Neurospora crassa OR74A: one gene and its partner. The main gene of each other region encodes a partner of the protein of the gene in region 2 in a complex. Links are inferred from orthologs where the notes say so. Each region holds a gene or a part of one and is shown on either strand. Other genes may lie near its edges. The genes, in order: NCU02533 and NCU06485.

Region 1 (9,963 bases), on a different chromosome or scaffold from region 2:
CTCAACGAGGTAGGCTATTCTCTCCGGATCATTCATTGTAATTGCGCTGATTGCACCAGCCACTGCGGATATCATTTTATTGCTGCCTTCGGTATCACTCGTGCCTAACCGATTAAGATAGTCCTCGGCGAAGGTCTTCAGCACCGAAAAGAGAACTTTACGCTGCTCGCTTCGAGGAACATGGCCCAGCAGGAGCCCAAAGCGCTCATTGTCAGCCCCTTGAGCAATTAGCAACCTGGTAAGGACACATTTCATGGCCGTATCTGCCTCCAAGTCAGTCATAGTTTGAGAAGCCAGAGCTATTCGCGAATGTCTTACCCGAGTGCCCTAGTCGTAGAGCCTTCAGAAACAACTCGGAACAAAGCTTCGTCTCATCTGATGTTGGCGAGGTTAGTTGCCACTTGACGATATTTTGGCTTAACCACTTGGTATATTCTGGCCCATTTGCTAGCCAGATGTTGTTAACGTCGATTTCTGCCTTGTGCCCCTTTGCATGTTCAATAGCCTCTGCGGTCAGTGCAATGATCCGACCACTGCCAAAGGTCGAAAGCATCTCCTGCGAGAGCATTCTGGTGTTGAGGTTCCCGTTCAGCGTTCTTGTAGCTGACTTCCAAATGCCACGTATGGAATCATTGCCTTTTAGTAACAGGCATACCAGGTTGAGAAGGACTGCCAGATTGATTGCGATGTCCGGTCGCTTGGACTTGCCATCGCCGGATTTTGCTTCCTGTAACCATGCCCTCAGACGCACAATAATGGCATTGACCCCTGTCAGACTGCGAAGACAAGCTAGCAAGAGCCCCAAGGCCGAAGACTTGGTTTCATGGGAGTCTTCGTTTAGCAGAGTCCAATAGTTCGGGACGATTTCTGACACCAGCACCTGAACTAGCTTTGCGGTCATAGGACTTGGTTCCTTGATGCTGAATGTGGACCCGGCTAAATCCTCATGGCTGAGGAATCGCAAAGTAGCGACGAGCTGGTCGTAGTTAGGTTCATGTCGTAAAACTTCGAGGGCTTCCTCGGGCGAGTTCAAGGGCCTCTGACCAGGAGATTGGTTCGGCTTTACTGTTTCCTTTCTGAGGCCAACTTCCTGGAGCAGAGGTTCGTTGGGGCTCGCACTCAGGCGGGAGGTGCTGATGGGCGTCAAGAGGCCGTTCATCTCAGATATCTGTAATGATGTCAGTTGGTGATGAGGACTTTGAAATACACAGGCTGGGCTTGAAGTGAAATTCACACCCCGGAACGTTACCTATCGTTTGACCGATCGAAAGAGGACGGAACGAATTGGAAGGAAAGTGGAAATTCCGTTTCGTATCGACGACATTTCACTGAGTGTACGTAGTTATCTGCGTCAAACGGAAAGCAACAGGGGATGATACGTAGCGTCGGTGTTGCTGCTAAGTGCTAACTGATCCGTTGTGCAGGCAGTCGTCCCTTCCCTGTAGCGGCCCTGAACTGCACTTTCGGGCACTCTCCGTTGCCGCTGTTGGTAACCTACAGGGTCTCCTTTAACGGGGCGGCAGGAGCTATCCACTCACCATCTCCGAACCTGAAGTCCGGGCCCGCCCGCAAGTGGAACTATGGAAGCTTCCCTCCTCCAGTTCCGTTTGTTTGTTGTCCCGTCAACTCACCCCTCGGATTGTACATTCAACCTGCAACAATTTGTGAGCCGCGACTAATCAGCAAATATTATCACTAGCATTTCTCATCCTACCCGCCGGCCTCCCCCTTAATTATCTCACCAGCGAAGTCTCCTCTTGTAGCCATAAACTAGTCATGTCAAGTCCAGAAGTACTCCCAGACTCCGAAGCCAAAAGATGGTAGGTGTTACGCGCTCTCGATCGCGACCCAAGAACACCCCCTGGATTTCATATCTTCAGGGCATGAGTCCCAACAGCTAACACGCCACCTTTACCATAGGAAGTATCTCAACAATGTCCGAACACGGCCAGGCGCATTCGTGGATCCGGAAGAGTTTGATGGCTCAACGGTAGTAGAGAACATGAACAAAATCAAGATCTTGTAAGTTATCCTTTTAATTGGCAGTACATCAAGTGTATGCGTATATCAAATTATTCAAGCAGAAGCTGATAACTTTTCCAGAGTCATGTTAGTCTCAGCTTAATGATTTGACGGGTCATGGTTATGAGAACTGACGGCAAGGTAGCGGAGCTGGAGGACTGGGTTGTGAGATCCTCAAGAACCTCGCCCTTTCCGGGTTCAAGGACATTTCCGTCATCGACATGGGTCGGTTGTCCTCTATAGATATATCGACATGTCAATGATAGCTGACCTGGAAGTCTAGATACGATCGACATCTCCAACCTTAACCGCCAGTTTCTCTTCCGTCACGCGGACGTAGGGAAATTCAAAGCCGAAGTAGCTGCCAAGTTCGTTGAGAGAAGAGTCAAAGGCGTCAAGATCACGCCATATAACTGCAAGATACAGGACTTCGATGAAGACTTCTACCAGCAGTTCCAGATTGTAGTCTGCGGACTGGACAGCATCGAGGCACGCCGATGGATCAACGCCACCCTGGTCAACATGGCGAGTTGTGAAAACCCTGATAGCATGAAACCTCTCATCGACGGCGGCACCGAGGGCTTCAAGGGCCAAGCCCGCGTTATTCTACCGACCATGGGCTCTTGTATCGAGTGCCAGCTAGACATGCACGCTCCCCGAGCCGCCGTTCCTCTTTGCACTCTCGCCAGCATCCCCCGCCAGCCGGAGCACTGCATCGAATGGGCGCACGTCATCGCTTGGGACAAGGAGAAGCCGTTCCCGCAGCTCGACAAGGACGACCCGGAGCACATCACCTGGCTCTACCAGAAAGCCCTCGAGCGGGCAAAGGAATTCAACATATCGGGCGTCACGTACTCTCTGACGCAAGGCGTGGTGAAGAACATCATCCCGGCCATCGCGGCCACGAACTCGGTCATCGCCGCGGCCTGCTGCAACGAGGCACTCAAGATCGCATCCAGCTGTGCACCCTTTTTGGGCACCCCCGGCGAAGGCGAGCCTAATTATATGATGTATTCCGGCAACGACAGCATTTACACGTATACGTTTAAGCACGAGCAAAAGGAGGACTGCCCCGTGTGCGGCATGACGGCAAGGGTGCTCAAGGTCAACCCCAAGTGGACACTCGAAGAGCTCATAGAGTCGTTTGCTACCCTTCCTGAGGCGCAACTGAAGAAGCCGTCGGTGCGGGCTGAGGGCAAGACGCTGTACATGCAGTTGCCCCCGAACTTGGAGGAGCAGACGCGGCCAAACTTGGAGAAGACACTTGAGCAGCTTGGGCTGACGGAAGGTACTGAGCTCGCCGTTACTGATCCAGCGTTTGTAGGCGTGGTGTTCAACTTCAGCCTCAAGTTTGCATGATGGTCCCCAGACATGAACGTGTCATGATGGCCTGGCCTGGTTTGCCTGGACTTTGTTCATGCTATTTAGGGACTAGATTTGTAAATTACCTACGAGCGGGAGCGTTGCACAACAAGCAGCGGGGAATGACCCGCAAGATGGCTATAGCGATGAGTTAACTTCCTTTGCAATTAATTAGATGTGAATACAAGATATGATTAACAATGTGCTTCAACAATATGCTACGCAGTACGTAACCAAAAGACATCATGTCAAATGAGGGGTACTGTGTTTATGCAAGACAGTGTGGTTCATGACTCATGTGCACCGACATGTCTATGATAATTAACAAGCAGAAACCATTAAACTAAAGCTGGCCACCAATCCCTAGCCTCCATGACGCCGTTCCAATGTTCTTTTATATGGTTACAAGAGAGATGGGTATCCTCACGACCTAATCCGTGTGATTTTTCCTCTTTCCCTGTGTGATTCCACATCATGATCGCTCAAATTCTGTCTCAACCACCGTACATAGAAATAACCTCACCTCTTCTTCGTGCTATTTTGAATCCTCCTACCCCTGGTACAATGTTTACTGTACCATGTTCACCACCTGCTTCTCGAACCTCTTCGCCTTCTCCTTGAGGTGGGCAATCGATTCGAGGAAGATGGCGTCGCTTTCCCACTGCCCCGTGCTCTCCACCAGGTAAATGAAGTGATCCCTCCTTCGGCCCAGCTTGACCTTGTCCTTGAACTCGTCATGGCGCAAGCACTCTCTGCTGACGGTGTCACGCATGGCGTCCAGGACCACGGCCTTGAGCTCGCCCTCATGGCCCTCGTATCCGCTGCCCTTCTTCTTCGCCTCCTCCTTGGTGACCTTTTCCAGCCCGATGACGCCCTCGGGGAAGCACTTCTGGAATTTCTCGGCGTCGCGGCCTAGGATCGGCTCGAGAATGGTGATGGTCGGCATGAGGCGGTACGAGGCCGTGGCGACGGGGGAGAACTTGGCGTGATCGGACCCGACGCCCTTGTGCATGTGCATCGTCAGATCGATCTCCTGTCCCGGCCGCATCTTGGCGACGAGGATGTCAGGGTTCGTGGGCCGGATGGCGTTCTCGCCCGAGAAGTACTTGGCTTGCCGGCCCTTGGGCACGAACTTGATGTCCTTAGCGTAAACATGGGCGTTGTGGTAGAGCTCCTTGGGGTCCTTGCTGTCTGCCGGCGCGCTCTCGTTGTTCTCGCACTTGACCTTGAGCTCGAGCTCGACCGTGTTGTAGTCGCACGGGGTCTCGCCCTTCTTGTACCACTTGAGGAAGTTATGGAGGCCTTCCTTGCCGCCGGTGAACGGGATCAGGCCCAGGCGGTGGCCAAGAACTTCGTCCTGGATCACGGAGGTGTTGTTCCACATGAAAATGTCCTCAATGGCCAGCGTGGGGATGTCGGCAATCATGATACGGCGGAAGGCATTGGCGATAGAGGCGTCGACGCCAATGAGCGAGAATTGAGCCTCATAAGGGTCGTTCTGGTGGAACACTACGCGGACACTTTCGCGGAACTTTTCGATATCCCAGGAATGATCCTCGCCGGGGTAGAAGCCGGGAAAGTCGGTGGATGTGACATTGGTGACAGTTTCGGCGTTGATATGGACAGTCTGCAGAAGAAAAATGCCATCAGTTTCCGCGTTGCATGCGCTGCGCAGCCTCGACTGATGATGATGGGCGGCAAGCCAGTGATTGACGTACGTTACGCTTCTCAACCTCTTCTGGGCTCGGGACCTTTGTCCTGACGGGCACGGCGGTCTGCTTCTTTGAGGATCCCATTGCGACGATATGTGTAAATAATGCTCTAGGTTGGCGGGGTTACCCTCTCGCTTTCACACGCAGGTCGGCACGCCGGGCAAAATCTTGGGAAAGAGAGCTCTGCGCTGTGCGACGGGCGATGGAGCGGCAGAATTTTTCCCACGAACGGGAACTTTTTGACCGCCTTCGCGGGAATGCGGTTGATTGGTTGGCTGAGATCTTATCGTGCTGCAGGCAGTGGCGGAGAGGTTCAGGGACTGCCTGGCTCAACTTGATGCTCATGGGCCTCGGCGGAGACAATTGTGGACAGGACCGCAATGACTGGGACAAGGCCAACAGGGTACATGGCGGGCCATAACCTCTGTCAGGTTACCGTCGACTTCGACCATCGACGAAACCTGAGGCGAAGAGAGAACGCTAGATCTTCACTTGCAAAGGGCTGCGCAGGTATGATGGGAGATACTTCAACTACCTAGATATACTTGCATGTCGGGAGTATCAATTCCAAATCCACAATTTTGTAGCTTCGGCGAGGGAAAGACATCGGGGCTTCATATTCCATGTCCACATCGAGGTTTGTCGCGAGTAAGTGACATGTTGACTAACTCCACTCTTAACTCCAGCACATCTTGGAATCTCTGTGGTCATTGTTATAAGTGTGGACATGCTCTTCCATCCTCCTCTTCCTTTCTGCGAAAACCTCTCCCTAAAATGCCCAAATTCCGACTTACACTGCCTCGAGACTGCCTGGCGAAGGACCGAGGCTTCTACAACCAGCCAATCAGATGGCATATAGCGCGGCTGCCCTCCATGGGACCGCTTGGCGGCACGGCTGCCGGATAAACGCCTTGGCCGGCAACAGTCGAGACGGGAGCTTGCCCGCCGTGGGGGGAACGTTGTACCAGAAGAAGCTTGGTCTCTGACTGCTCAACTGATGGCCTTTGATTGGGTTGAAATTCACTGACCAACTGACGGCAACGATTTGAGGAGTTCGAAGCTGGGGCGTTGCTGCGGCCGTGGTCAGGGAAAGTCGACTGGACGTCAACTGAAGCATCTCCACCACCACCTTATTACTGCTATCACTAGAAATCGCAAGCTCACTGCGAGCCATTGAACCGCCGGAGAAGAGGCCACATCCAGCGGCGAACCTCCTCCCCTTTGTCCTCCGTCGCTGTCAATCCTGCGAATCTATCCATCTCCGTTCCCTGACCTTCTGAGCGACCCAAAGCAAGCGGCAGTCCCACAAACAACAATGGCGACGACGTTGTTCCGACTCGCTGGGCGCAATGCCAAGCGCCATTGTATGCGCCAGAGCACCACCATCGCTCACAACCTCAACTCGACTCGCGCCTTTTCTGCCTCCGCTCTCAGACGGTATGCCGAGCCCAGCTACGAGGGCCAAGGAACCCGTCTGGTCCCTACCGGCGACGACTTTGCGCCCAACAACGATCTGTATGGCTTGGAGGCTTTGAAGGCAGACGGTGCCCCGAGAGTGCCTCCCCAGGATCATATCCTGGCCCGCAAGGTGCGGCACTACACGGTCAACTTCGGTCCTCAGCATCCGGCCGCTCACGGTGTGTTGCGCCTGATTCTCGAGCTAAAGGGTGAAGAGATTGTTCGTGCCGACCCCCACGTCGGCCTGCTGCATCGCGGCACCGAGAAGCTCTGCGAGTACAGGACCTACCTTCAGGCGCTCCCTTACTTTGACCGTCTTGACTACGTCTCCATGATGACCAACGAGCAATGTTTTGCTCTGGCCGTTGAGAAGCTGCTCAACGTTGAGATCCCCGAGCGTGCCAAGTGGATTCGTACAATGTTCGCTGAGATTACCCGTATTCTCAACCATCTCATGTCTGTTTTGTCGCACGCCATGGACGTCGGCGCTCTCACGCCTTTCTTGTGGGGCTTTGAGGAAAGAGAGAAATTGATGGTGAGTGTTGATTCGTATTTTTCGTTAAATATCGGCGGTCTCTATCAGATGGGTATATTAAAAACCAATGCGCGAAACTCTACGCGAAAGGACCTGGGAATACCAATGCAGCACGCACCCAACCCCAGCAGCTCAATCTAATATGTGAAAAACCTTAGGAATTCTACGAGCGAGTCTCTGGTGCCCGTCTCCATGCTGCCTACGTCCGCCCCGGAGGTGTCCACCAAGATATCCCTCTCGGCCTGCTCGATGACATTTACATGTGGGCCACGCAGTTCGGCGACCGCATCGACGAAACCGAGGAGATGCTTACGGACAACCGTATCTGGATAGACCGTCTGCGCGGCATCGGTGTAGTCTCTGCCGCCGACGCCCTGAACCTGTCCTTCACGGGCGTCATGCTCCGCGGTTCCGGCGTGCCATGGGACATCCGTAAGAGTCAGCCGTACGACGCATACGACCAAGTCGAGTTTGACGTTCCCGTTGGCATCAACGGCGACTGCTACGACCGGTACCTGTGCCGCATGGAGGAGTTCCGTCAGTCACTCCGTATCATCCACCAGTGCCTTAACAAGATGCCCGCTGGTCCCGTCCGTGTCGAAGACTACAAGATCTCCCCGCCGCCCCGCTCCGCCATGAAGGAGAACATGGAGGCCCTCATCCACCACTTCTTGCTGTACACCAAGGGCTATGCCGTCCCGCCCGGTGACACCTACTCGGCCATCGAGGCCCCCAAGGGCGAAATGGGCGTCTATGTCGTCAGTGATGGTTCCGAGAGGCCGTATCGTGTGCACATCCGCGCTCCCGGCTTTGCTCATCTGGGTGGCTTTGACCACTTGTCGAGGGGCCACATGTTGGCTGATGCCGTGGCCGTTATCGGCACAATGGATTTGGTGTTTGGTAAGTTTGATTCTCATTGTGTGAAACTCTCTTCTTTAAAATTCCAAGTGGTTTGGTAGCTAACCCTTTTATTCCTACTTCCAGGTGAGGTCGATCGGTAATGTTGAAGCTCTCCGGCTGCAAACTTTGTGACATGGAACGCAACGCATGGGATATTTTTTTTTTGATGAATGAAGCACAGCAACTGCAGATATTGAAATGAGCGGATAAGCAGGCCGCGCGCGATGTTTTACCTTTAAAGAACGCCTAAAGGAGAAACAGTACTTTGGGTTTTGCTGATAAAGGTGGGACGTTTTGACTTCTTCTCTTATCCCCTGGCAAAAACGGAACAGGAAACATAGATAGATGCAGACTAGACCAGCAACAGAAGAAGAATAGCCAATTCAGTCATCGGGTCTTTAAAAGAGAGACTGAAGTGAAGGGATGCCATGCTTTGGTCTTTCGTCGTTGAGTTGTGTGCAACACATCATCCACGTCCTTCTTCTTCAACATTTTCTGTGGTGTTGGTGTTAGTTGTGCCAGTCCTTGATGTGCATGGTTGTGTGGTGCTGTGAGACGAGATATGAAAAAGGCAACGCGACGACTGCTTGTTGTTACAATAACTTCTCAGCCGCCACTGGACTGGCTGCCGTCGAACATTGTCGCGGAGCGAACACTCGCTCTCTGTCGACTTTGATAATCTCCATCCCGCCGTCATACTGCGCGCTGAGAATTTGTTGTTTTCGTGGTTCGCTGTCCTCTGTATTGTTAGCTTCACAATTGGGCCACTCTCATAAAAGTCCCAGGGAATTCACATCTTCGAAACAAGTCATGGAAGCGATGGGATGGCGACTCACCAGTCCAAGGACTCAAGATGAGGAATCCTTAATCCCGCTCAGGAGTACGATGAGCTCCGCTGGTGTCCTCTTCCCAAACTTGTACGGTGTTGCTGGTATTGCTCGGCGTGATCAACTTGAGCCCCACAACCACCTTCAGCATCATTCGCGATGCCGGTTCCGTTTCCGTTTCCGTTATTGGTTTCAGTATCGGTCCCAACCTTATTAGTCTCAGCTTGAACCTCGCTCGAAACCACCCCAGCTCTAGAACGAGGTTCAGGTCCAGGTCCAGGTTCAGATTCAGATTGGAAGCTCGACTTGCATCTTCTCAACTGACAATCCTCCCAATTAGGCATGTGTACTTCACTGCCCTCTGGTCCGGAGCCGACGGGCAGACCGCAGTATGGAAATGGGAATGGAAGACACGGTGGCGGAGAGGAACGACTGGTTAGGGAATGAAGTTCCTGACAATGTTGCTGAAGCTGTTGCGGTCCATCCTGAGTCTCGGGCTCGTGGTCACAATGATCGGGGAAAACAATGCCCATTGGTACGAAGGTGTGTGGTCCGTAAACGTGTTGTTCATGGTTGCCGTAGACCGAGGCGACGGCGTGGGACGACGAACGGATAGAGAGCTGCCCTGGCTGATCTGCCAGGCCGAAAAGCTCCGGTCGCTGCTGGTGCTGTGCTGCCGGATCACAAGACCGCCCCTGGGGGAAAGGCACGGAGGTGTTCGCCAAAGTCACCGAAGTGGCATGCCTTGGCTGGCTGTGGTGATGTCCCTGTCCTTGATGAAAATGCTCCTGCTGATGATGAAGGCAGTGGCTCTGGCGGTGATGCGAGCGAGCTCTGGTATGACGAGGGCCGGTCGGAGGTAAATTAGATACAAGAGGAGGTTTCGGTTTGGCCGGGGGTGATGACGCAGCAGCAGCAGGATCAAAAGTTCCAAACGTATCATTGATCTGGGCCATCCGTAAAGTAATTTCCTCCTCACCCTTGTTTATGGCCCTATTGCGGCTCTCAGTCTGGCGGTATTCCTGGAGATACTCCCGTTCCCCGGTGATCATGTCATATTCTCCCACGTCAGGCTGAAAGGGCGTAAAACGGACCGGACACTGGCATCTTCCGCTGTCGTGGAGAGCGCGGTGATCAGCTAGCCACT
Region 2 (10,475 bases):
TTGCGCATGTAGAAGCTGATCTTGCGGCCTCCGGAGCCGACCGAGTTGGCCAAGGCTCTGGCGAGGAGAGTTTTACCGGTACCGGGCGGACCGTGGAAAAGAACACCTCGTGGTGGTGTAACATGAAATCTGGTGAAAAGTTCGGGATACAAAAGGGGAAGCTGAACCATCTCCTTGAGTTGGTCGATGTGGCCTTGCAAGCCTCCGACTTTGCTAAAGTCAACACTCGTATCGACGCCAAGCGGATCCGCATCCGCAAACGCCTTGAGATTCTTCACCTTTCCGACGTTAGGTGTGGCGCCTCCAATACCACCCAGGCCGTCCACATTATGGGTCTGAGCCGCAGGATTGGATAAGCCAACCGGAGGAGCGGCAGAAGTGGGCGTCATGCCAATAGGGTTCTGGCCAGGACCGGTTCGTTGCACCATCTCGTCGTCGCTGCTGTCGGAATCAACGCCGCCCGTAGCACCGGTGCCCCAAGGGCCTCCAAGCAGAGCGCCAATTCCAGCGCCACCGAAGGGACCATAGGTGGTGTTTAAAGGACGGTCCCATCCTGCATTTCCTCCGTTCCTCTTGCGGCCTCTTGCTGGCGTTGCCACAGGCTCTTCATCTTCCTCGGCCTCGAGGGCGGCCAAGTCGATCGCCGGGATAGTGTAATCAACACGCTGGGTAGTGCGACGTCTCTTGCCCGCGGGTTCCTCGTACTGAATAGAAGGTGAGCGGCGACGGCGAGTGGCAGCTCTTCGCGGCCGCGAGCGTGAGCTCTCGCGAAGCTCCTCGAGTTCTTCAGCAAGCTCCTCCCTATCCAGCTCAACTTCCTCATCACCAGAATCTTGGTTGCGGCGAGGCCTTTTGGCAGCGCGAGCACGGGTGGAACGTCCGCGAACGGGTGTAGCGGCAGACTCATCTGCACTGGAACCTTTACGTCCACTCTTTTTAACTGAAGCCTCCGAGGCATAGCATTCGTTATCGCCCGACTCCTCGCCTGGCTCAAAGTCACTACTAGGTTCAGCGAGCGACCTCTTCTTCAAGCGAGACCCACGCCTGAGGCGGCTCCTGAGTCCTTCGCCCTCTGGTTCAACTGCTGTGACAGTGGTCGTGGTCGAGGCAGCTGTGGTAGATGTGACGGCTCTAGCCCCACGAGTCCGCCTAGTAATCGGACGATCGTCTTCGTCGTCACCGTCTGCGTCTTCTGCTGCTGGCTGGCTCTCGGTCTGTGCAGGTTGTTCTTCGCTAACCTGTTGGGCAGCTCCTTCCTCGGCCACCTGTTCAGCCCTTCCCTCTTGGTGTTCGTCTGGATGGTCAGCGGGCGCATCGACCATGTTCGCCTGACCGGCCAGCTCGTCCACATCGTCAGCATTGGGTATATCCGTCTCGACCTTGAATTCGTCGTCATCTTCCTCATGCGAGGCTTCGGGAATGGGTGGAGGTTGTTGTTTCTTAACACCCTTGGAACCACGGGTAGCTCTGGTGGCGTGGGTCAAGGCTTCCGGGCTTTTACTTCTTGTTGATGCGCGGGTGACGCGGGTATGTCTTCCCGAGTTGGACAGCTCGAGCAATGGCTCGTCCGTCTCTTCCGTGCGGGCTCTCGTAGAGCGGCGGGTCGGGGGAACCATGGTTGCTGGTTCTTTGGCAGCAGCGCCACGTCTTGGTCGTTGTGAGCTTGGCTTGGCGCCTTTTTTGACACTCAGCACAACGATGCGAGACTTCTTTTTGCTGGGACTCTGTTCAGGAGACTCTATCGAAGGCACTCTATGTTCTTCGTCGGGCTCCTGGACGACGTCTTTGTCTTGGTCAGACGACTGGATCCCGTCTTCGTCTTCACTGCTTTCCCTGTACGATTGGTGTCGTGCGGCAGCCTGGCGCATCCGCCTGCCCGTAGCGTTGACAGGAGCGTCCGAGTCTTCTTCTTCTTCCTCGTCTTCCTCTTCACCGAAAGAGATGTCTTGTTCGCTGTCGCTGATATCTTCGTCGTCTTCGATGTCGGATCCTTTGTATCGGCTGTTCCGCCTGCGCGCGCCGCCAGCAGCGCCTCGGTTCTTTGGGCGGCGGGTGTTTGCTTGCTTCCTTGCACTTCGCGGGGTTCGTTGCTTTTCGGCAATGGGGTCGAAGTTTTCGTCTTCGGGATCGGATTTGTTAGGGTCGAAATCCGTGAGAAAGTCCTTTTTACGCTTAGACATAGCAGATTGTTGGTGGGGGCAAAACGGCTAGGTATAATGTGGTCCAATAAGTGCTGCAACGAATAGCTCTGAATAGGACTGGGGTTGGTGGTGGACAATAGTAGGGTGGATTCCGATGGGGTGCCTATTCCGTCCGATGGCGAGAATGGGGGCAAAAAGCTAGCGGTTGGTGAATTGTTGAGCTTGCGACTGGCTATTTCGATGCGATGTTTATTGATAACAGCTATTCAATATCTAGCAGCCTGCATGAATAAGTCGTGTTAGGTCCGTGTGTGCCGTGCAGAGCAAAACAGGATGCGTCAACAGGTCAAGGGAAGCAATGGGAAGTGGGAGCAAAGGGACGGGATGGAAAGAGGCAACTGAACAACCAGAAAAAAAGAGAGCCACATACAGATTTATGTTCTGTCTGGTATGGACCTAGGTGCCGTGGGGGGGTGAAATTGGGTCAACACTCGGTCGGCTCTCACCTTGCTGTCAGGTTGACGACTAACAGGAGGTGGGATGTACCGCTGCATCGACGGAGCACTTTAGTTCAGGTCGAAGTTGCCTTGAGGTTTGGACAGAGCAAAACCTATCCAAGGGCGCAATTGAGGTAGAGCCAGACAGAGAGTCGAAGGGCATCTAGGAGAGGCACTGGGCAGGTAGGAGGATTTGGTAGAATGCGACGACTGATGCGACGATGCTTCTTTTTTTTTTTCTTTGGGTAATGCAATATGCATACACACACACACACACGGCAGCAGACACGCACACACACGCGAACACACGCCCGGCACTAGACTAGACTGCTCGCTGGGGAGTTGAAGTCGGACTGCGGTGCCGGTCTTGGTGCCGAGCTAGTATGTTATGTAGAGGTTGTAGTAGTGAAGGGAGGCAGCAGTGTGGTGCAAATCCTCTCGCGCGCGCGCATAACTTCCCGAGAGGAGAGGACTTGAAGCAAACTCCAGTCGTTATAGTTGAAAGTCGCGAAGCTGGATGGATAAGTAGCTTCACCTCGGCGGGAGATATCGAGTGCAGTCGGTCAGATGCCGTGAATTGTAGGTAGGTTGTGCAGAAGGAAGGCAGGACGGGAGGGAGGCCAGAAGCAGGGGCAAAGACTACCTAGGACTGGCGTGAAAGAAGTGTCACTGGAGTTGAGGTGGTGAGTGAATGAGCGTGGTGAGCTGCCTGGGGTGCGGCAGACGGGAGGCAAGAAGGTGGACAGTCAGCGGTCGGTCGGTCGCGTTCGTTCCCTTCATTACCAGGTAGGTCGTTCGCGGAACTGTGAACTGGAATGAAACTGGAACTGGAAGAAAGGCGCTGGTTGGCACCGTCCTGGCCAATCAGCACGCCCAGAGACCACAAAAGCTGGTCCATGCGCTGCAGGCACCAGCCCCGGCATTGCGAATCACCTCAGAAAAAATCGCAAAGTACCCCCTGCCCCGACAATTCGCCCGTCGACCCAACTTTGACGCGTCGTGAATTGAGCACTCGTATTGTCGCTGTCACCAACACAAAATTGCAGAGAATGGCTGCTCAGATTGAAAGCAGAGACATCAGACAGCATTGGGAAAGGTGCATTGAGTGTGTAAATGCAAAATTGAAGCCGCAATTTAGAGAGCAAAATAATCTGTGGAAAATGGTCGTTGAGAGTGAGACGCGTCTCAGTTGAAGATCCCAAAAGCTCTTTAAAAGAGGCAATGTCGTCATACCATTTAAGCTGGTCGGGGTGGGTGCCGGTGAGGAAAACTGCACTGGCTCTGGTCGCTCGGTGGGGATTTTCCCCACGTGGCTTTCGAATGCGGCTCAAGCGCCTTCACTCTGCACAACGCCAAGGGGTCCAACTTAAGGGGACTGGACTGGAGCGAGGGGAAGCACAAGCAGCGGCCGGCACACGGACGATGGGATGGTCAAGGCAATGGGCCAGGGGAAACGGGGAGGACGGACAAAGTCGGGGACGCTTTGGGGAGGCACAAGGGGAAGGAACTTCATCGTGGGGTGATCGGCTTCGGCCCAGCCCTACCTACCACCGACGGCGTCTCACACCGCGGGGCGGCCAGCGGCCAGCGGCCAGCGAAAGGGGACAACGGTAGAAGGTGACGCCTGGGCGGATGCCCATCCAGGGCAGCCATATAACTACCTTTTCATCTTGTTTTCTTCTAGCCTGGCCGTCGGCTGCTCTGATATCTGCGTAGGATTTGCCGCGGACATTCTTCCTGTTACATATGTTAGCTTGACGTTCGTGGTTCTGATTTTGCACATCAACTGGCGTTAGCTGGTTCAGGTTAATGATCATCTCTGCCCCATTACTCATCTCGAAGCCCGTCATCAGTTCCCATCTTCGTTATTGGGTCCGTGCGGATATCAGTAGTAAACAAACACAAAGGGGTTGGCCAAGCGTTGAGGCACTTGAGAACCAGAACCCAGGGGGGCCAGCTTTTTGTGGGGTGACCCTTTTCCTAGATTTCAATGTCATCTCTTTGACCCCATTCAGAGCTTGATAAAGACTGAGGGACAAGCTTCCCGCCATACTTCTTATGGCCCATCAATTTCCATGACTATTCTCTACATTGTCTATACAATGATATATGCTTTCTAGCCTAGCTTTTACTGCCCGAACCACAAAATAACTGATGTATACCTCGGCAAGATGCTCAAATAGTGCGGTACAGGTCATGGCCTCCTCTCGATTAGGCGCTTGGAATTTTGATTGGCCAGCGCCTGGGTGTCGCTTGGGTGTGTCTCAACAACACACCATGGTGGTTACAGGCTGGAAGCGGCCAGACTTCCAACTGAGCTGGATGATCGCTTCTCTCGCAAAAAGCATGCCTTTTCTCAGCACTTCGTAGGGTACTTCCAAACGTAAGCGCCAAGATGTCCAATGTAGGACTGGGTGGATGATGTGCAATGCGCACAATCCAACTAAACTTGATGATATGATCCGTGGCCGTGGGTCCGGCTCAGCAAAGCGTGGTTTACCTCTTCCGTGCCGGCAGTCTGATCTTGGGAAACTGAAGAGGCAGTTGCAGGACGGCAAAGTTCTCCATCTTGTCAGCGACCTTCTGTTGCTTGACGCGAGCTCCAATCTCGATAAAGTATTGGTTGAGCTGCTTCTGCTCCAGCTTCAGATCTTCTCTCAAGTCAATCGTGTTGACCCTGAAGCCGTCGATGATGGCGGCAAATGCGCAGCAGTGCGTCATCAGAAGGTCAACGTGTGTCTTGCGCATGACTCCGCCGTCCGAGAACTTGCGGCGGATGTTTTCAATCACGATCTCGGGCGCTGGTGCCATAACCTCGCGCAGCTTATCCCTCTTACCAATGCTTCTTGTGCCACGCTCCCTTCCTTGCGAGGTGGCATTCCAGAAAATGATGACGAACAAGAGGTACCGCAGTACCCTCAATCTGTGCACCGCGTCGTCGCTGCTTGCTACGTTGGAAACGCGCTTGGCGACAAAGCGCGAAGGTACCTGGATGTCTTCTAGGTTCTTGACGCTCTCCTGCCAATCCATCACTGGTATCGCGTTCAGGACCTCGGATCCGATAATTTGGGATGGTACGTAGACGTCTGCGATTTCATCGGCATTGAAGTTGCCGCGCGGTACCGGTCGGGCGTTGTCGACAGCGGCTTGAAGGTCTTCCTTGGTCGACATGTCCTTGGTGGCGGTCTTGATGGCGTCCATCATCACCAGCTCGCTCTGGCCAACCTTTTGAGATGTAATGGCGTTCTCCGTCACGTCGCGGATCGCCTTCTTCGCCTTCTTAGTACCGAATGCCTCGCCGAGCTCGTTCCTCATGGCCATCATTTGCTGTTGCACCGTCAGTCTGGTTTTATGCCCCTGACCACTACTTCCAGGCTTACCTGTTTCTGAGTCTTCTCTTCCATTGCCTCGTCAACCGCCTTCTGCGACCTAACTGTGCCACGGAGCACCATCTTGCGCGCCTCTACAATCTCAACCTCGGCGGTTTTGGGGTTGAAGATGCCAATGTAGTGCTTCAGGTATGGGTCGGACGAGTCTCCTGTCCTATCTTCGCGAGCTGTGTAGTCCATCGTCCGGTGGTTGGCAGAGTGCAGCAGCAACTCTTGTGCGGGCGCGCCATTCTTCTTGCGCTTCGAGGTCTTGTCGGCTGGTGTGGCGTAGGCTTGAAATTGTATGGACGAAGAGAGAGCGAGTCCCGAGGTCGCGGCTAGGAGCGCATGTTAGAGTCTTCCTCCATTGGACTTGACGGCCATGGTTTCAGCCGATCAACATGTGCTTACCCACGACCGGAGGCGCATACTGCGGCCTCTTCACAGCTCCGACATTGATGAACTTGGGCGACTTGGACGATTTCTCGGAGTCGACCTTCTTCTTCTTGATTTGGGGTGTTGTATCCTCAGCGCTCTTGCGCTTCTTGTCTGATGAGCTTCCCATGGTGGTGTTTGCGGGCTACAAAGGTGCTGGGGTAGTGTAGAGTCGTGAAGTCCCGCCAAATCAAATGGATCATGCAGCTGGAGAGTCGCTGTCTGAACTTCCGAGTGGATCCCGCAGCCAGAAAAAAATTCTGCCGCCTGCCGGGGTCCGGTATCAGTTACCGCCTTTACAATCGACACACCACATTTGATGACGACGATGCAATATGTTTGATGATTTGTGTTGAAATACTACGAAGCGCGAAATCTTCATGCTATGAAATCAATTGCTATTGGTTTGCTGTTAAATTGCTTGGAGAGATGAAGAATAGCAAGCCGCACGCGTGCTAAAACAATCAACCAGACATGGAGGGGTTCAGTCCAAGTCACAAGGCAAACCAAGGCTTGGGACGCGATTTCTATGCCCTCGTGCATGCAGGCCACTGCCTTCCCCGTCGTTGAAAATGTTCACTGATGTTGCAAAAATTGGTATTCCCTTTGTGTGCAAATGCCATGTCACCTGTTCGAGGGCAGATGACCATGTTGTCGACAGAAACAATTGATCCAAGACATGCAGTCCCGTTTGTCACAGATGCAGAGAAGTGTATCATGAAGCGAAGCGGCCTTTATTGTTGCTGCGACGGGTATCCCGAATTCGCGTCTCCAAACTAGACAGTTTGCTCCCACCGGCGTTGATCCGTAAACACCTTGTTGCTACTCAACCATGAAGTTGACAGGCAACCAGCCAATACCATATCCGCCACCAAACAGTTCCGTTCTATGTGTGCCACAGTTTGATGTGCAGCATGTCCCGAGGGGTGCATGTTCCGTAGGAACCCTGAGTTCGCCTGATCACCGCAAGGTTTCAGAGCGACCGATGTGGCGTCATTCCGCGCTGAGGGGAGGAGTCGACACCGAGCCCAAGTTGTCTAATGGCTTAGAGGATAATGTCAAGAGCTGATTGGGTCGAGTGAGGCGAGGCGTTTATTTGCTGGGATCGAGTCAGCTTATATGCTCCTGAGTGGCGATTGTAGCTGCATCAACTGTCGATGCGCCGATGGTGAAACTTACGATCTCGCTCTCATCTTTCTTCTCTTGCGCTTAAGGCGTCTCACGCGCTTCTTTCTCCACTTCGCTCTCATCTTGAACTGCTTGTATGTCAGTAGGCGGGCAAGCAAATGCTGGGGGGCGGGAGCGCGTACATCTTGGATTTAAAGATGAGTTTTGCTTGTTGGTGATGGGAAAGAGTTTCAACTTGCGAATGGAGAGGGGGAACTTTTATCTCATAGGGCTCCAGGGCAAGCAGCCCTGTGGGGTAAGTCAGGTGACGCAGGCCCAAATTGCCCAGGCCTGCCGCTCTTTGTTTGGATGCGGTCCGTGCGGGGTGCGACCTTTGCCCTAGGTGGCCCAAGCTCCCGCTGACGGACGGGAGCTTCAGCTGGACTGCATCAGAAGCTCGGCTCGGAGATCGACTCCCGTCTCGTCCTCCAACGAGCGAGCCTGCCTCCCGCTCCTACTAATGGACACTGCACTTTCACTTCACTTGCAAGCTGCACCCGTCCAGGTCAAAGGAAGGCACGACCTGTCTGCATAAAAAGATTTTCACGATAGCTGGACATGGGAAGGAGGAGTCGATCCTCAAGGCACCAACTCACTCTTCCAATCTCGTCCTGTGATCTTGAACTCTGAGTGTCGTTCCCAACCTTTACCTACTTCTACTTCTCAATACGCAAAGCCACGGTGGGCCATGAATAGTCAACACTATCTACGGACGCAAGTGACGACATCAACGCATACATGAGTGAACGTTGACATTGCCGGCTTTATCATTATCATTATCCTTTGTTTTCCGTGTCTCGGTGTTGACAGCTGGTTTGATATGTCGCAACCGCCTGTGGCAAGTGTTTCCTTCGAAGACACTAGCACTGCTCCTCCTACAAGAGGTAGGTATCTGTCATTTCCCTGAAGTGATCGTGAATACTGTGATGTATCCCTCGCTGGTCTCCTCCAACCAGTGCTCCCTAACTTTCGTGTCGCAAGTCCAGGCGGCTTTTACATCTGGCCAAACCAGACAGTCAGAATTGGTCGTGACACGGACCGAGATAATAATGACGTTGTCTTTGTCGATTCCACTGTCTCAAGAAACCACTTTGAGCTGTATTCTATCACTGTTGACGAAGAAGGTCGCCATACATCACTTGTGTTTGTGCGAGACCGACAGTCTTCCAACGGGACTCTGCTCAACAAAAAGTGCGTTGGGAAGAAGCCAGACATCACTCCGGGAAGACTACTCCAGAATGGGGATGTCATCTCCATATATCCTTACATCACTTTCAAGTTCGTTCAGCTCGAGCAGGGAACTTCGTTTTTGCGGCTCACTGCACGCCAGCGAGAGGAGCTCAAGGTACTATTGTTATCTTGGCGTGCGACGAAAATAAAACATGCCATGATCTGACTTAGCAACATCCAGCTCCTTGAGAACCGATACCTTGTGGAAGACCGCACATTAGGAAACGGTGCCCATGCTGTGGTCTACCTAGCCACAGATGTCTTGACAGGGCAGCAGGTGGCTTGCAAAGTGCACAACTTAGATAGACGGCCCCGGTCACACCAGATACTCCGTCGGATCAAGCAGGAGGCAATGCTGTTGAGCTACCTCGATCACGTAAGTCATTGAAAGGGCACGGGACGATGGATCAAGCTAACAAAAGTCGTCAGCCGAATATTCTTTCCATCAAGGCTGCCTTCGAATCAGAGCATTCGGTGTAAGACCTTCATCACGAGCAGCTAGCAGGGTTGGGCAACTAATGTATCTCTAGGTATATCTTTACAGAGCTGGCTACTGGTGGCGATCTCTTCTCACTTCTATCACGCGAGGGGGCACTCCCCGAGCTAGAAATACGCTGGATCATACGCCAGACCCTCAATGCTGTTGACTACATCCACAACAAGGGGGTCGCACATCGAGACATCAAGCCAGAGAATATTCTCTGTGCCATAGCGCCAAATGTCTCCTACAGGCTTGTTCTCTCCGATTTTGGGGACTCGGCTGTTACGAACCGTGGAAGATTAAGGTCCGAGGTTGGAACAACCTTCTATCGCGCCCCGTGAGTTTCGCACTTCCCCTCCTGGGTTGACATATGTCACTGGATTGTTGAGAGCAATGCTAACGCTTGATTCAGCGAATGCTATAACTCCGAGCGAGGTCATTCATTGTCTGTCGACATCTGGTCCATTGGGATGCTTTGCCTTCAGCTTTTCTCTGGATTCCAAGAACTTCCGAATCTTCGTCATCTCGATTTTACCAGCCAAGACAGAATCGACCGCTACCTCAACATCATCCTCAATGACCTCGGCTGTGACATTGCTGTTCAAGATGGCGATGAAGACTACGGCAATGACAATGAGCCCATTGACCCTCAAACCTCCCGCCTCCGTCCAGATGAAAACATCTCAAGCCATGCAAAGGACTTCATTCGCGGATGTCTCACCTACAACAGCAAACACCGGCTCACGGCGCGCCAAGCTCTTACTCATCCCTGGATATGCGAGCCCGAGGAAGATGACAGTCTCTTCAGACGTCTTGAAGGCGATAATGCAGCTTCGTGGGAGCCTAGGAAGATTCGGCTCGCTCCTTTCATCGAAAAGCTCGATGCGACCACTGATGCGCATAATGGGAATGGAGAACAAGAACTTGGTACGGCGGCAGAGCCTATGGGGGAGGAGGAGGAAGAAGACGAAGACGCCAGTGCTAAGATTTCGCCACACTTTCAGAGGGACCCGACTCCTTTCCTTTCGTGTCACACCTTATCATCAGCCCATCAACAACGAGAAGAGGAAGACACAGATCACCCACTAAGCGCCAAAAGCTGGTTTTCATCTCCGCTGACAGTTCAAACCCGGCGGACTAGTCAAAGACCACAACA

Evidence for each region.
Region 1: NCU06485 (region 2) and NCU02533 share a complex: the UniProt entries of both Saccharomyces cerevisiae proteins name them as parts of the RNA polymerase I (Pol I) complex. The link is inferred for Neurospora crassa OR74A from reciprocal best matches to the Saccharomyces cerevisiae genes RPA49 and RPC40.

Annotation. Positions count from the first base shown.
Region 1 is NC_026501.1:2,642,748-2,652,710, forward strand, and holds NCU02533 (DNA-directed RNA polymerase I and III polypeptide), read right to left. Parts: upstream 5,290-9,963; 5' UTR 5,181-5,289; coding exon 5,103-5,180; intron 5,012-5,102; coding exon 3,953-5,011; 3' UTR 3,593-3,952; downstream 1-3,592. Other genes in the region: NCU02531 (hypothetical protein), read right to left, coding at 1-263, 319-901; NCU02532 (NEDD8-activating enzyme E1 catalytic subunit), read left to right, coding at 1,777-1,820, 1,921-2,022, 2,104-2,109, 2,168-2,247, 2,306-3,381; nuo49 (NADH:ubiquinone oxidoreductase 49kD subunit), read left to right, coding at 6,412-7,089, 7,248-7,989, 8,074-8,090; NCU02535 (hypothetical protein), read right to left, coding at 8,864-9,963. UniProt on the Saccharomyces cerevisiae protein: DNA-dependent RNA polymerases catalyze the transcription of DNA into RNA using the four ribonucleoside triphosphates as substrates.
Region 2 is NC_026503.1:1,578,068-1,588,542, forward strand, and holds NCU06485 (hypothetical protein), read right to left. Parts: upstream 6,645-10,475; 5' UTR 6,572-6,644; coding exon 6,418-6,571; intron 6,345-6,417; coding exon 6,019-6,344; intron 5,966-6,018; coding exon 5,135-5,965; 3' UTR 4,611-5,134; downstream 1-4,610. Other genes in the region: NCU06484 (hypothetical protein), read right to left, coding at 1-2,180; stk-43 (serine/threonine protein kinase-43), read left to right, coding at 8,429-8,492, 8,595-8,953, 9,020-9,214, 9,268-9,314, 9,369-9,656, 9,732-10,475. UniProt on the Saccharomyces cerevisiae protein: DNA-dependent RNA polymerases catalyze the transcription of DNA into RNA using the four ribonucleoside triphosphates as substrates. Component of RNA polymerase I (Pol I) which synthesizes ribosomal RNA precursors.